Arabidopsis thaliana: one gene and its partners. The protein of the gene in region 2 interacts with the protein of the main gene of each other region in a pairwise test. Each region holds a gene or a part of one and is shown on either strand. Other genes may lie near its edges.

The links. The genes of interacting proteins can lie anywhere in the genome.
Region 1: the proteins of YAB3 (region 2) and IDD14 interact in a two-hybrid assay, tested with the Arabidopsis thaliana proteins (one large-scale study listed by BioGRID).
Region 3: the proteins of YAB3 (region 2) and SGR5 interact in a two-hybrid assay, tested with the Arabidopsis thaliana proteins (one large-scale study listed by BioGRID).

The regions. Positions count from the first base shown.
Region 1 is NC_003070.9:25,530,059-25,535,224, forward strand, and holds IDD14 (indeterminate(ID)-domain 14), read left to right. Parts: upstream 1-1,949; 5' UTR 1,950-2,425; coding exon 2,426-2,576; exon of another isoform or gene 2,577-2,677; coding exon 2,678-3,080; intron 3,081-3,553; coding exon 3,554-4,259; 3' UTR 4,260-4,620; downstream 4,621-5,166. UniProt on the Arabidopsis thaliana protein: Transcription factor regulating starch metabolism by binding directly to the promoter of QQS. The IDD14beta isoform attenuates the transcription factor activity by competitively forming heterodimers with reduced DNA-binding capacity.
Region 2 is NC_003075.7:72,001-77,463, reverse strand, and holds YAB3 (Plant-specific transcription factor YABBY family protein), read left to right. Parts: upstream 1-1,887; 5' UTR 1,888-2,374; coding exon 2,375-2,488; exon of another isoform or gene 2,489-2,575; coding exon of another isoform or gene 2,576-2,596; coding exon 2,597-2,767; intron 2,768-3,036; coding exon 3,037-3,196; intron 3,197-3,756; coding exon 3,757-3,805; intron 3,806-3,940; coding exon 3,941-4,016; intron 4,017-4,396; coding exon 4,397-4,474; intron 4,475-4,585; coding exon 4,586-4,660; 3' UTR 4,661-4,919; downstream 4,920-5,463. Other genes in the region: AT4G00170 (Plant VAMP (vesicle-associated membrane protein) family protein), read left to right, coding at 5,379-5,430. UniProt on the Arabidopsis thaliana protein: Involved in the abaxial cell fate determination during embryogenesis and organogenesis. Regulates the initiation of embryonic shoot apical meristem (SAM) development.
Region 3 is NC_003071.7:430,316-435,623, forward strand, and holds SGR5 (C2H2-like zinc finger protein), read left to right. Parts: upstream 1-1,959; 5' UTR 1,960-2,336; coding exon 2,337-2,496; intron 2,497-2,531; exon of another isoform or gene 2,532-2,696; intron 2,697-2,809; coding exon 2,810-3,196; coding exon of another isoform or gene 3,197-3,212; intron 3,213-3,808; coding exon 3,809-4,602; 3' UTR 4,603-4,762; downstream 4,763-5,308. UniProt on the Arabidopsis thaliana protein: Transcription factor involved in inflorescence stems gravitropism, probably by regulating starch accumulation in amyloplasts of graviperceptive cells. Required for stem circumnutation movements. Regulates lateral organ morphogenesis and gravitropic responses.

The sequences.
Region 1 (5,166 bases), on a different chromosome or scaffold from region 2:
TATATATCAACAAAACGAATTGAAGTGTTGTTTTGGACGAGTGTATATATATCTACTTTATTAAAGAAAATTGTTTGTAGAAGACAACATCACCTGCAATGCTTTATAATTCTAGTGTTCTTGTTTTTCTTTTACAGGGATTAATTTCCAAAACTTTTCTTTCGTTCGCCAGTTTAGTTTCTTTTATTTGGAATTTTGTATTTTACTTTGGTTCCTATAGGCTACGCGTAACATTGGCACATACTACTTTTTCATGTATGTAAGTAATTTCTGTAAAAGGCTACATTAAAGTCAATACTCTCCGTTTTGGGTTTCAGTGAAATCTAAAAAATGTCAATTTTACTTTTGAAGTTGCAACTTTCAGATAGCAACAAGAGCGAACGAGACAAATGCCTCAGGTTTCAGTGTACAGCTCCACTAAATGGTTTTCGGGTGCTATTATTTGTTTCATATAAATACATAAATACTACTCCATTTTTTCTAATTTAATGAGTAGTATTAACAAAAAAAAGAGTTATAGATAATGCTAAGTCTAAAGACCGGGGTAAATTCAAGGTAATACAAGTCAACAACTAAAAAAAACTAATTAAGGTAGTGAATTGAGTTCACGCAATTAAATAAACTAGTTAAACGAGTAATTTGGACGAGGGTGAAGTTGCTACATGATCATAGTGGAGTTTAATTTACAAAAGAATAGGATAACAAAACTATATATATATATATATATATAACGTAGTGTCAAATAAATTAATTAGTGTGTTATTTTCAAATATACCCATAAAATCCTTTTATTTTCTAAAGAAAACACAAAATAAATAATCGAATTTAAGTATGATTTTTATCCATTATTTTTGCCAAATAGAGGGTTCTTTACTGCATATATTCCTTAAATAAAGGAAAGAGGTGACTATTATCCTAATTTCTTAAGTAAGAATGCGATTGTGAAAGTTTTGATATATCCAACTTTACAAAAAAAGAAAAAAAAGCATTGCATGTGATGAGAATCCATCTCCCCCATCCTCCCACCCATTCTTTCCAACTCAACCATCTCCTTTCTCTTCCTATTAATAAAGTATCATCTTCTTTTTGTTTCTCTTTTTATTTTTTAATGAAAAATAAAACTTTTAAAAAAATTTGTATTTACTTCAATTTTCTTACAGTTCCACTTGGATAGACAAATGCCCTTTAATGAGATGGTGGTGGACTTTAAGTATATGTTATACGCACAACACACACACACACACACACTTTTATAGACATGTTTTTTAATAAAGAAAATTCTTTCGAACATATTCCAGATCTCTAATTTTTCTTTTGTTTGAGATGTTATATAGAATTGGTCTCAGCTGACACTCAAAAACCAGATCTGACTCTAGGGTTTTGTGTTTGTTTTTTGTTTTTCTTGTAAGAAAAACTATATATTGGAAATTTTCTGATTCGTCTCACTTGTGGGCACAGTATTCATATTTGATTAAAACCTATTTCTTATATAAAAAGGCATGAGATGATGGCACCACATTGTATATTTGTATATATACGGAAACATAAATTGGGTATATGCATGTGTCTTATATTCAAAACAAATATTCTCAAGTCCCTTCCCTTTTTAATTTACACCAGCCCTATAGCTAAAGGCTACACATATATACATTTGTCACCATTAAAAAACATGTACTGTTAAACATCAAATTTCCAAGATTCCGTTTATATTTTTCACCTATCCTTTTTTTTATTTATCTTTGAAAAACAAAACTTACTCACTCTGATCGAATATTTTATGATATGAAATAATAATGACTTGTAATTGTTGTGTAGTGGAAGGGGATGTTTTTTTGTTTCTTGTCCTGATGCTAATGTGGGCTCCAAGCTCCTTGTCCCACTCTCTTTATATGTATAAACATCTCTCTCCATAGATATGTTTTGTGTTTGTAAACAAACAGTGTACAGATAGAGAAGAGAGAGGTTCATAACTACTCTGAAGAAGATTGAAGCACCAAAGACCATACAATGCATTTCTCCATCTAAGGTGAGAGGTCAATGAAACAATTAACAAAAAGTTGAAAGTTTCATTTATTTTTTTCTTTTCCAAGAAAATTATAAAAAGTTGGATAGTAAAAGGGAACAGAAAAGCTATTATCCCTTTATGTGAGAAAAAAAATAAAGATGATTTCAGAAAAACAAAGCCCTTTGTTTCTCTCTCTTAACTCATCTTATACTTTCTTCTTCTATTAGTAAAGATGAGTACTCTCTCTACCAAATAAATAAGGAAACATAAAAAACAATCTCTCCTTCTTTCTCTACATGAAAAACAAAAGATTCCTCAATTTTGTTCTTATTTTTCATTTAGTCACAGTACCTCTCTCACTATAAACCACACTGTCTTGAGATAAAATACAAAAAGAGAAGAGATTAAAAACCTCATCCGATGATAGACTACGAGAGAAGCAATACCACCAAGAACATCAACACCCATCATCACAACCCTCCTCCATCTTCATCTTCCTCTGATCTTCTTCCCGACGGTAATGGAACCGCCGTGACTCAGAAGCGGAAACGGAGACCCGCCGGGACACCGGGTATTTAACAATTTTCTTATCAAGAATTACTAGTTGTTAGATTCTATATCCGGAAAGTTATCAAATAGTTCTGTTAAAGATTTTGATTTATCCGGTGGCAGATCCGGAGGCGGAGGTGGTATCTTTATCACCAAGAACGTTACTAGAATCGGATCGGTACGTATGTGAGATCTGTAACCAAGGGTTTCAAAGGGACCAGAATCTACAGATGCATAGAAGACGACATAAAGTTCCATGGAAGCTTCTTAAAAGAGAGACCAACGAGGAAGTGAGGAAAAGAGTCTACGTCTGTCCGGAGCCGACATGTCTCCACCACAACCCTTGCCACGCGCTCGGAGATCTCGTGGGAATCAAGAAACACTTCCGACGGAAACATAGTAACCACAAGCAATGGATCTGCGAGCGATGCTCAAAAGGCTACGCAGTTCAATCTGATTACAAAGCTCATCTCAAAACCTGTGGCACTCGCGGCCACTCCTGTGACTGCGGCCGAGTTTTTTCCAGGTTCCATTCCTTAGTAACAAACCCTAGCTTTTTAATTTTTATTTTTATTATATATTTAGGATATATATTTATCGGAATCCTTAAAGTAAATCAAAGAATGTTTTTTCTAGTATGGCGTGTCCATGTTTTGATTTTTAGATAACGCACATAGATCTTGAAACAACGTTTACTAATGGAACCTGATGAGGTTTGTTTGGATGTACTGTTGTCTGAAAATACTTTTAATTAATTTAATAATTAGGAACTATGTTTTGATTACTCACGTTGACCCCATAATAGATTTCATTATCAAACTTTGTTAAGTATATACCATACTAAACCTCGAAGTCTTGCATATCTCATACTCAAATATATAATCCAAAAGATACCTAACTCCACTAACTTAATTATTTATATTATCTGTCACGAGATACAAATATTCCTTTGTGCTTTCCATTTTAGTTTAACTTATATAATACACTCTTATTTCTCAGAGTGGAAAGTTTCATAGAGCACCAAGACACTTGCACCGTACGCCGATCCCAACCCTCCAACCACCGTTTACATGAGCAGCAACAACATACCACAAACGCTACACAAACCGCTTCAACCGCGGAAAACAACGAGAACGGGGACCTCTCCATTGGTCCTATATTGCCTGGACATCCTTTACAAAGAAGACAATCCCCACCGTCGGAACAACAACCATCCACTTTGCTCTATCCCTTCGTTACTAATGGTAGTATCGAGCTTCAGCTACTTCCATCGAGGAATTGTGCTGATGAGACCAGCCTTAGTCTGTCTATAGGGACAATGGATCAAAAGACAATGTCGGAAGTTGAGAAGAAGAGCTACGAGAAGGGAGAAACGAGCCTAGAAAGAGAGGAGGCGAGAAGAGAAACAAAGAGGCAGATCGAAATCGCGGAATTGGAGTTTGCTGAAGCCAAGAGAATAAGGCAACATGCGAGAGCTGAGCTTCACAAAGCTCATCTTTTTAGAGAAGAAGCAAGTAGGAGGATTAGTGCAACGATGATGCAAATAACTTGCCACAATTGCAAGCAACATTTTCAAGCTCCGGCTGCTTTGGTTCCTCCTCCTCCTCAGACGCATTGTACCGATGAGAGCACGTCTCTGGCCGTGAGCTACATGTCTTCGGCGACTACCGAAGGAGAAAAGGCGAGTGATAGAGCATCTTCATAGACCTTGAAGAGAGAACACAAAAGAAAACAAATATTCTTCTTTTTTTTCTTTGATTGGAATTAAAGATCATCTTTTGATATTCGTTGGTTTTCTTACATATTCTTGGTTTGTGGGTTACCAGGTTTGGGTATTCACTGGGGGTTTGATTTTTTTTCTCTCAAACAAAAACCAAAGAAGAGAATAGTTTTTGTTGTATGAATTGTCTTGGGTCTGTTGGTTAACGTAATGTAATGAACGGGTTATAATTCTCAAGCATTCGTTAATTAGTTAGCTACAGAAATGTTGTTTTTCCATAGAGATAACTGATCTTAATTTTCAGTTTGGTTTGAGACTTTGAGTGTTTTGGATTTTATAGTTGAACTATTGTGACTTAAAAGTATTACCAATTCCTATTGTTCACACGAATATCTGCATTTTTCTTTTCTTTTCAGTCAATTATTTGCATTAAATGCAAGGGATAATAATTAGGTCAAATCGTGAGTCAAATTCTCAGGTAGAAACTAGAAACAATTCGCTCCATATCCCACGTCCGTGTAGACTGTAGTTTGAAATCGTCTAATTGAATGGTAAAATATTAAAATCTAATTCGATTAATTGTAGATTTTATTTGGATTTTGTGGGTTTTTGGTCTCAATGTGACCAAACAAGAAATCATATATTTTTACGTGAAGACAAAATCTCATGAGATATCTTTTGACCCTTATAGTTTGATGTGTTTTTCAAACACATAATAATAATATTTTTTTTAATGAATTTGAATTCATTAATAAAGTATGAGAGAGTTTGTAGAATATACCACCAAAAAAAAGATATTTAAAAAAAAAAACAAGAAAGAGCTAATGCAACAACAAACTGATTTGGTTTTCTCGATTAAACTTTAGGTTTATAGAAGAAAAAAAACCAATTT
Region 2 (5,463 bases):
ACTTGGCCCGCCGATCCATGCCCAAACATATCGAGATCAATGGCTAGAAGAACCATCATCTCGAGGGGGCGTATTAGGGATAATATCCCACATCGGAAGTTGAATAAGATCTTAAGTGGTATATATAAGATATGGGCCTCTTCACCTATTGCCAATTGGTTTTAGGTTGGAAACCCACACTCTAATATGGTATCAGAGCCTGATCCGCACATACTCAACCCGATCCACATCGGTCCGGCCCAATACTTGGCCCGCCGATCCATGCCCAAACATATCGAGATCAATGGCTAGAAGAACCATCATCTCGAGGGGGCGTATTAGGGACAATGTCCCACATCGAAAGTTGAGTAGGATCTTAAGTGATATATATAAGATATGAGCCTTTCCATCTATTGCCAATTGGTTTTATGTTGGAAGCCCACACTCTAATAAACTCAATACAAATACTAAAGTTGCAAACAACTATACTATATTTGCTTGAAGTTCTATTGTGATAGGATTTTGACTTACAAAAATCATATTCTATGTCTACACTATATATTGTGAAACCGGATAGCCATAATATTTACAAAAACTTAAACTAATTTCAGATATAAATAAATTTAAATTTCACTATGACCTAGTAATTATCACGAACAATTGGGAAGTTACCACAAAATGGTGGTCCTGTATTATGGAATTTAGCGAAACCACACACTTGCGGGTAAAAATAATGATGACAAAATGATATACATTGGAATGTAGAGAAAGTATATACAAATACTAATAAATAGAAAAGGGCATGGAATTGACGAGGATCGAGGGAAAGTGTGGTGTGGCAGAAATGTTATTAAGTGTGAAAACAACTGATGAATGAGCCTTTGCTTAATCACTTCCATGCACAAGTCCCTTTCCTCTTCCTCTCTCTCCCACTTCATCGAACTTTGCGTCCTTTAAAGAAAAGAAAAAACAAAACATTTTTCATCCAATTGAATTCAAACCGTAACCAGATTAGATTTAACTTCGTTTATTTTACATTATCTTCTTCTTCTTATTTTGCGGAGAAGACTTGTACAATGACCTCAATACGCTGAAGAGTTGGATTCACTGCGAGTGTATATGTGCATATAGAAACAAAATATCTAGCTATATGACCACTTTTAACTCTAAATATGGGTGTAATATGCCAAGGACTTTCTGGAGATCCACCACAACACACATTCAAGTTCAAGTTCTGCTGCTTTTAGGTCTATGAAAACAACACCAACCTTATTTTCATATTGTTCTCTCTTTATCTCATGCATAAGTATATTTTCATATTGTTCCCTCTTTATTTTCATGCTTTTAGTTGATATTTTTTTTGTTATTGTATTATCATTAGTGCGACGACACAAAGTCACAAACCATGTAACAAAATGCTTAACCAAAATAGAAAACCTTAACAATTCCAATATATTTTCTGTTATTGCATTATCAATTATCATCAAATTTTTTTCCACTGTTGCATTATCATCATTGCGACGACACAAGGTCACAAACCATGTAACAAAATGCATAACCAAAATAGAAAACCTTAACAATTCCAACTTTAACATGTGAATTAATATTATCTTAATTTTTGGATGTTCGACATTCAAATAAACTCCTAATTAAACCCTATAGATATGGTTAATCTTCTATACATGTGTCACGTACGACACTTATTAGCCAAATTGAAGTTTTGTTTTTTCCGCAAATATATAAGCGGTTTAAATAGTTGGTAAAAAAAAAAAAAAGTTAGCATGTTTGTCGTATGTACATGTTTGATGCTGCACAAATCTTGTCGTTATAAAACTTTGAAATCTTTATATCTATTATTCCTCACCGATCGGCTACTAATTCAATGGTACTTGATAATGATAATTAGTCCCAAAGTAGAGTTTTTATCTGATTATATAGAAACAAAGACTAGTTCCGGTTTGATATATAGAAGAAAGAAAAAGGATGGATAGGAATAATAAAGAAGATAAACCGGTTCAAAAGGTAGTAAATGAGAATGCAGGTATGCAGCTTATCTCTACAATGGCCTCTTCATCACATGTCGCCAATTTGTTTAGGTACAGTGTCTCTTCATATTTACATAAATAGATATCTCTCTCTCTCTCTCTCTCTAAACCACATCTTCCTCTCCACCGTTCTTTCTCTTCCTTCTCTCTCTGGACTTCAACTTCTGGAGAAGTACAAGACATTTATAAAGTACTGCTCATCACCCAACACTAAACACAATTGTCAAAAGGGTGTGGTGGAAGGAGAATCTACTTCTATCTGAACATCGATCAGTCATATCTTTTCAATCAAATCAAAGCCCTCCTCTCTCTCTTACTCCTTTTTTGTTTTAAATCAAGAAAAAGACTCCATGTCGAGCATGTCCATGTCGTCCTCCTCAGCTCCAGCTTTTCCACCGGACCACTTCTCATCTACGGACCAGCTCTGTTACGTCCATTGCAGCTTCTGCGACACTGTCCTTGCTGTAAATTTTGGATTATTCTTATATCTCATCTCAATATTTCAAATTTATAACTCTAGCTAGGGTTTCACATGAATTACTAGTTAATTAATGTGTGATATTAATTGGCAGGTGAGTGTTCCTCCGAGTAGTTTGTTCAAGACGGTGACGGTCAGATGCGGCCACTGTTCGAACCTTTTGTCGGTGACCGTGAGCATGAGAGCTCTTCTTCTTCCATCCGTTTCCAACCTTGGCCATTCCTTTTTACCTCCCCCTCCTCCTCCTCCTCCTCCAAATCTTTTGGTACATCGGTTTCATTCATCGAAACAAATTAGGGTTCTTTCATAAAAAAAACAGAGAGTAATAATTAGGGCTTTTCTTCTCGAGAAACGCAAAATTGTGAAACTCAATCCAAAAATGTTTAATTTTGTTAGCATCCCGGGATAGATCTAAGTAGTTTGGCAATGGCTAGTTAACTAGGGTTTCTTTCGAAAACATCATATCAAAGTAGTTTGGTTTGATTAGTGTTTTAAGTTTTTTTTGCCAATTAGTTTGCTGATTTCATTTATTAGGAGGAAATGCGAAGCGGAGGGCAGAATATAAACATGAACATGATGATGAGCCATCACGCTTCAGCTCACCACCCGAACGAGCATTTGGTTATGGCGACTCGCAACGGAAGATCAGTGGATCATCTACAAGAGATGCCTCGGCCACCACCAGCCAATAGACGTAACCTTCCATCTTCTACTCTTTATTTCAACATCTTCATATATATATATATAAGAAAACAAAAACCCTAATTCACAAAACCTTATCCATTCATTTCTTCAACCTTTTATATATACACTCCAAAGAATCTCGTTTGTTTATAATGAATTTATAAGTTTTGATTTCATTTTTGTTCCCTCGGTATGTGACTTCTCGCATGCACTTTTTTTTTGGTCAGAAAACAATTTCGACAACAAAAGGAAAATTAATAAGTGATGTGTTTATCCCCCGGAAATCTAGCTAAACCTATAGATGCCAACTGATATAGTTTTGGGGGTAGATCGTAAGAAAGATAATGATGAAGTGATGATGATAACGAGCAAAGTGAGAGGGAGAGGGAGAGAGAGAAAGGAGGAAGAGTCGAAGAGTGATTGTTTTTTTTTTTTTAATTGTTTTTTTTTGGTGAATTTTTAGATTTTTTGGGGAGGCACAATAAAAACCAATAATGTTTTTTTTAACAAAAGGGTTTGATTTGGAATTAAAATTGAATATGTTCTGTTTGTTTGTTTGTGGAAAAGCAGCCCCAGAGAAGCGACAAAGAGTACCATCTGCATACAACCGATTCATCAAGTAATAAGTTTATTCCTTTGCTTAAAATGGCATAATTAAATTTCCCTAATTAACCATTTTACTCATATAATTAAGGGTCGATAGATGTGACAGATTTGATTTCATTATATGATATAAAAATAAAAATGTTGACAGAGAGGAGATCCAACGTATAAAGGCAGGCAACCCTGATATCAGCCACAGAGAAGCCTTCAGTGCTGCTGCCAAAAACGTACCATTTCTTTTTTTAATATATAAAACTAATTTTCTATATTGCATTATATCCATAATCATACAATCTCATTTTAGTCTTTATGAATTGAACCTAGCTAGATTATTGTGGAGCTACATTGATACTCACATTGCTTTAAATTAAAAACATAAAACAAAATAGTTACCGTAATAATCCATAATTCATAAGCTTTATCCAGCATACATTAGCTAGGACTAGCCTTAGGATCTACGATCTAGGGTTTCAGTAAAGTTCCCTAGCAGATATTTTAGTCTGGCTTTGTATTCGTATATTTTTGACCAAGTTTTTATGTTATGTATAAGATAAATACACATTAATGTTAAAAGAGCTAAGTATATGATGTAATATGTATGAAACAGTGGGCTCATTTCCCTCACATACACTTTGGACTCATGGCTGACCATCCTCCCACGAAGAAGGCTAACGTGCGCCAACAGGTTACTTACTACTACTACACTATATTTATTTATTCAAATGTATATAATCAGGAGCATGCATGCATTGATCATCAAAACATAATCGAGATATTTTATTTTGGTGTAATGAAGGAAGGAGAGGATGGGATGATGGGAAGAGAAGGGTTTTACGGTTCAGCTGCCAACGTTGGGGTGGCCCATAACTAGCTACGAAGACTTTCCCAATCTTTTGTAATCTTCAAAATGTGGTTACTTTCAGCTCAAACTTAACTTTCTTATTACTATTTTATGATATTTGATAATCGATCAGGAGACCTTTTTTTTTTTTCTTAAAGAAATTTTCGGAACTACTAGAATTTTCTCTTGGAATTGAAAATATATTGTTTTCTCAGTTGCCGTGTTATATATTTAATATCAAAAGCATGCAGTAGCTAAGCTAGCTAGGCTTTACCATACGTTAATGATACTGTCTTTTTCTCTTTACAATTCCATATTCGAATTTGATTTGTATATAACATATTGGGAAGAATCATCAATATGTATTCAGCTCAAAAGAATTCAACAAAAAAAAATGCCTATTATCAATAAAAATTCACTGGGCTTTAGAAGGCCCACAATAGTATAATGGATCCTTTTTGTTGGGCTTATTTCAGTCAGGGAACAATAGCCTTGATTTTGTTGGGCTAACCGCTAACGCATTAAAAAAATCACGGTCAATCGGTGATCGTCAAATCTAGTTACGTGGCATTTAATATTTAAAACTACAAAATTTACCAGTCTTGGCTCAAAAAAATATTTATTCACTTTTCTTCTTCTCTGACCAAAATCAAAATTTGTTCGATTCTCATTCTTCTTCTCACAGTCGTAAACCCTAAAAAAAAAACAGAGAAATCAAATTTCAATCTCGAAGGATCTACAAAGAAGCATGACGACCGGAGATCTCGTTAATATCCATCCTACTGAGCTTAAATTCCCCTGTAAGTTTTTTTTTTCCGATTGATTTGATCCCT
Region 3 (5,308 bases), on a different chromosome or scaffold from region 2:
AACCACTAGGCCATTGTCGATTTATTTTTGACTATTAAAAATCAGACTATTGTATTTCATTTAACATGTTTTTGTTTCTTTTTGAATTTTTGCATTCATTTAAGATGTTGTGGTCTCTCAAGTCCATATATAACGATTAGAAACTACAAATTTATAATTTTGTAGCTCCGAAATAAATATCATGCATTATGTATCAGCTAGAAAAGATCTAATCAGTGGTAATAATCGATAAGCAAAGGGTTAAGTAAGAGATGGGAGAGTAATCTCATCTTAGGAAATGATTACAAACACGATCTCATTTCTTTCCTTTATACAAAGCTGTCACCGTAGTAACTCGATCACATCTTCTCGTCTAATTTGTTCTGTTTTTCCTTTCGGTCCATTTAGAACCAATTTTTGACAACTGACAAAAAACATTATGAGGTATCTTTTGTTTCTTTTATCTGCAAATTAATTTATTATTCGGCAATAACAAAAATAAAAACAACTAGTAGCGAATAGCGATCAAGCTAAGGAAGGAATACATATGGCATTTACAATTGAAACAGAGAAAATGTGTTAAAGTAACAAAACTTATGATTGAGAAAATTTAAACCATAATTGAAACAGAGAAAATGTGTTAAAGTAACAAAACTTATGATTGAGAAAATTTAAACCATAATAATGATTAATTTTGGTAGTCTACATATGAGTTCCATCAAAAAAAAAAAAATGTTTTCATATAAGATTCATTTCATTCTTGATCCAGTAACATTCTTAGATCTGTTAATGAACCTTCTTAAGGAATGACTGAGAAGAAAGGCAATAGCCTAAAAGGAATCGACAGTGGAGAGTGGAGGGAAAAAGAGGTCACGTGAGTAAGACATAAGGTCACGTGCGCGAGGGATCGAATATGAATTTTACTAAAATAGGGTTTTATAAAAACATACTAATACTACTTTCACATTTACTCTTGGTTTGAATTATTTTTATACGCATGTATAATTTGATATATTTGTCTTTTTTCTTCCCCTAACTATGTATGGGCACTAGTACATCCATTATATAAGCCAAATAGAAAGAAAAAATAATAGTTTGTCTGCATTATTGTAAACTTACAGAATTTGGTATTTAATGCAATAATGCATTTTTATCCTTGGATTATTCACAAGAACCATATACCTTTTTTTTTCTCTCCTTGTTTCCAAGTGTAATTCGAAAAGAATCTTAACATGTATGTGGACCAACGTTGGAAACATGATGACATAACATTCATATATAGTTAACAATGACAATTTTTCTTAAATTGTCTATATATTATTGGATTGCTTTAACAATAATGAAACGCAAGATGTATTAGTGATGTATAATCACACTATTTATAGGACTTGAGAGTGACAGTCAAAAAGTTAATTAGAAGTAATGAAGTATCTTAACCTTATTATTTAATTGCTTCTTACATCATCTAAGAGTTAGCACCGTATCGATATTCATAAATTCTCTCCTAATTTGCAGATACAATACAACTATTGCTATTTTAAGCCTCTAACCTGCATAATATTTTGATGAAAGGCAAGCCTTACATGTGGACGTATGATCTCATATATTTTTTTTTTTCATTTGTTAGAAGAAACTCATGTAGATAATCTCAAACATAAAATAAAATGTTTCAAAAAAAAAAAAAAAAATAGTTTGTGAAGGTTCAAGAAAATCAGACAAATTCATCAATCAGACAAGATATGGGTCCAAGCCAAAAAATTCATATATCCAACATGCTCAAAGAAACAAAGTCTAAAAAATAAATACAAAATAACAAAAAGAAAAATCTAAAATCTACATCTAAATCTAAATAAATACACCACCTTCTCTCTCTCTCTCTCTAGCTACACGAGTGTATGTATACATTTTACGCAATGATGGCATAGTGCAATGAGCTTTATAAGTAGAAGCAATATAGACATCAAAGACCCCTTATTTGCTCTCAACTCTCAAGTGTATGAGAGAGAAATAGGTTTTTGAAGAAGAGTCAAAATATATACCCAAAGAGAGAGCTAGAGAGAGAGAGACTCAAGAAAATTAAAAAGCTTTCATCATATTAACATAAGAGAAACTTTGAAGAGCCTAAGAAAAAGTTTTGAAAAGCCTTTGTTGCAGAAAGCTTAAAAGAACTTTTTCTCTCCCCCTATATCTCTCTTTATCACCCTTCCTCTTCTTTGTAAAGCTGAATCTCCCACTATCTCTTCTTCTTTCATTTTTTTTTTTTTTTGGTCTTTGGGCCTTGTTCTTTCATCAAATCAATCTCTAGAATCCAAATACAATAAAGTCAAAAAGAAAGATCAAGAAAAGTAGAGTAATTGATGAGAACAGATCAAGTGATGTTGTCCAACAAGAACACAAACACATGTTGTGTGGTTTCTTCTTCTTCTTCTGATCCTTTCCTCTCCTCTTCAGAAAATGGGGTCACCACCACAAACACATCCACTCAGAAGAGGAAAAGAAGACCTGCAGGTACCCCAGGTAATAATAAATCCCCACTACAGAAAATTTATTTTTCAAAATCTTTTTTTCTTGTTTTTATTTTCTTATGAAAATTTTCAACTCATGGGTACTATTGTTTTTTGTTTTTTTTTTCTCTTAAACCCCATTAGAAATACAGGTTTATTATAGGTTTAGTTTTAAAATTTCTCTTTTTCTTATTGCCAGTTTCAAAGTTATAGGTACAATTAATGGGTTTTCATTGTTTTTAATTCTTAAACCTCATTTAAAATCTCAACTTTATTAATCAACTAAGACATGTGTTTTGATGGGTTTTGCCTTATCTCCTTTTCAGATCCAGATGCAGAAGTTGTGTCTTTATCACCAAGAACTCTTCTTGAATCAGACAGATACATATGTGAGATCTGTAACCAAGGGTTTCAAAGAGACCAGAATCTCCAGATGCATAGAAGACGTCACAAAGTTCCATGGAAGCTTCTTAAAAGAGACAACAACATAGAGGTGAAGAAACGAGTCTATGTTTGCCCTGAACCCACTTGCCTTCACCATAATCCTTGTCATGCTCTGGGAGATCTTGTCGGCATCAAAAAACATTTCAGAAGAAAACATAGTAACCATAAGCAATGGGTTTGTGAGAGATGCTCTAAAGGTTATGCTGTTCAATCTGATTACAAAGCTCATCTCAAAACTTGTGGTACTAGAGGACATTCTTGTGACTGTGGTCGTGTCTTCTCCAGGTATAATTTCTTGTTCCTCTCTATCATTTGATTTTTTTTTGACCCATTTTATAAATTAATTATTGGTATTATTAATTCTGAAAAGATATGCAAACTTTTGGAAGGATTTGTTAAGTATTTCTAAAATATACAAGTAATTTGACTCTGTTTGTTTTGTATATTTAGGAGATCATATAGAAAGACAAATATAGAAAATTCTTCTAGGGACCAAAGACTAAGATTGATAGTTATAGTACTATTTGATTTGACTATCCTTCATGATTTTTACTAATTCTGTGTATTGATGTGTATGCATCAGAGTTTTTTAATATATCTCTTGACTATTTGTTTGGTTTTTGTGACATAAAAAGAAAGTTAAGCACTTAGATTAATGACATTGACCCCAATCTCTAAAGAAATATTTTATGTATTTAGGTTATTATTGGACCTTTTTTCGACACAAAGGTTATAATTGGACCTAAACTCATATTAATAATATATATTTTTGAGTTCAAAGGTATTTAATAAACGACGTTTAAACAGAAAAACTTAATATAAAATTATTAACTTTGTCACATTTTCATAATCCTACGTCATATAAATTATGTAATTGATAGGTTTCTTTTCTTCTTTTAGGGTGGAGAGTTTTATTGAACATCAAGATAATTGTTCCGCACGGAGAGTTCACCGTGAACCGCCTCGACCACCACAAACCGCGGTAACAGTCCCGGCATGCTCTTCTAGAACCGCCTCAACCGTCAGCACTCCGTCTAGTGAAACCAATTACGGCGGTACAGTTGCGGTTACGACTCCTCAACCTCTAGAAGGCCGTCCAATTCATCAGAGAATCTCATCTTCAATTCTCACCAACTCATCAAACAATCTCAACCTCGAACTCCAACTTCTTCCATTATCGTCGAATCAAAACCCTAATCAAGAAAACCAACAACAAAAAGTTAAAGAACCATCTCATCATCATAATCATAATCATGATACCACAAACTTAAACCTCTCCATTGCACCATCATCATCATATCAACATTACAACAACTTTGATCGTATAAAAGAGATTATGGCGAGCGAGCAAATTATGAAGATAGCGATGAAGGAGAAAGCTTACGCTGAGGAAGCTAAAAGAGAAGCCAAGAGGCAACGAGAGATAGCGGAAAACGAGTTTGCAAATGCCAAAAAGATTAGGCAAAAAGCACAAGCTGAACTCGAGAGAGCTAAGTTTTTAAAGGAACAATCTATGAAGAAGATAAGTTCAACGATCATGCAGGTCACTTGTCAAACATGTAAAGGACAGTTTCAAGCAGTTGCGGTTCCGGCGGCTACGGCTGATGAGACGTCTCTTGTCGTGAGTTACATGTCGTCAGCGAATACTGACGGAGAGTTGGAAAATGGTTTTTAAGTAAAACCGAAGAAAACATAAGATATTTAAATTGAGGTTAACTTTATTATACTTTTGTGTATTAATTACCGGTTGTGTTAATTTTTTCAACTACCATATATTATGTAATGGTTGTTATATAGTTGTTTCTTTGGTCCAACAATATTAGACTATGTTTTGTAACTATGTTACTGTCATTTCCGCCACATTACACTTTAAATTGTTGAAAAATGATTTTATCCTAGGTTTCATATAGAACCTTAAAATTAAATTTTATCAACAAAAAAAAAACCTTGAAATTAACTATTTAAATTTTTATATAGATATTTTTTCGTCTTGAACGTCTACAGTAGTTTAGAAGGAGTTAAGAGTGGAGATCCGTACATGCGTGTTTTGATCTTTGGCCTTAGATTCGCTTAGAACTTTCAATGGATATACAATTTTTTTAATAAAACATGTGATATGCGGATTTGAATTCGGTTAAATATACATTTGCTTATCCTTGATTTGTCTACATTATTTTTGGTAAGCTTGAGGTGATATATTTGAAAACAAATCTCACGTTTTAAGGATCAAAACAGTCCCTGCATGATAGAGATTATCGACATCTAATGTATACCAGTATATTTAGTAAGTTTGAAAGAGGGTAAGTAGTTGCTTGGCACGAGTTGATATATGGAGTGATGGGAAATGTACTATTATGATGTCGTTTTGGTCCGTGACCGTT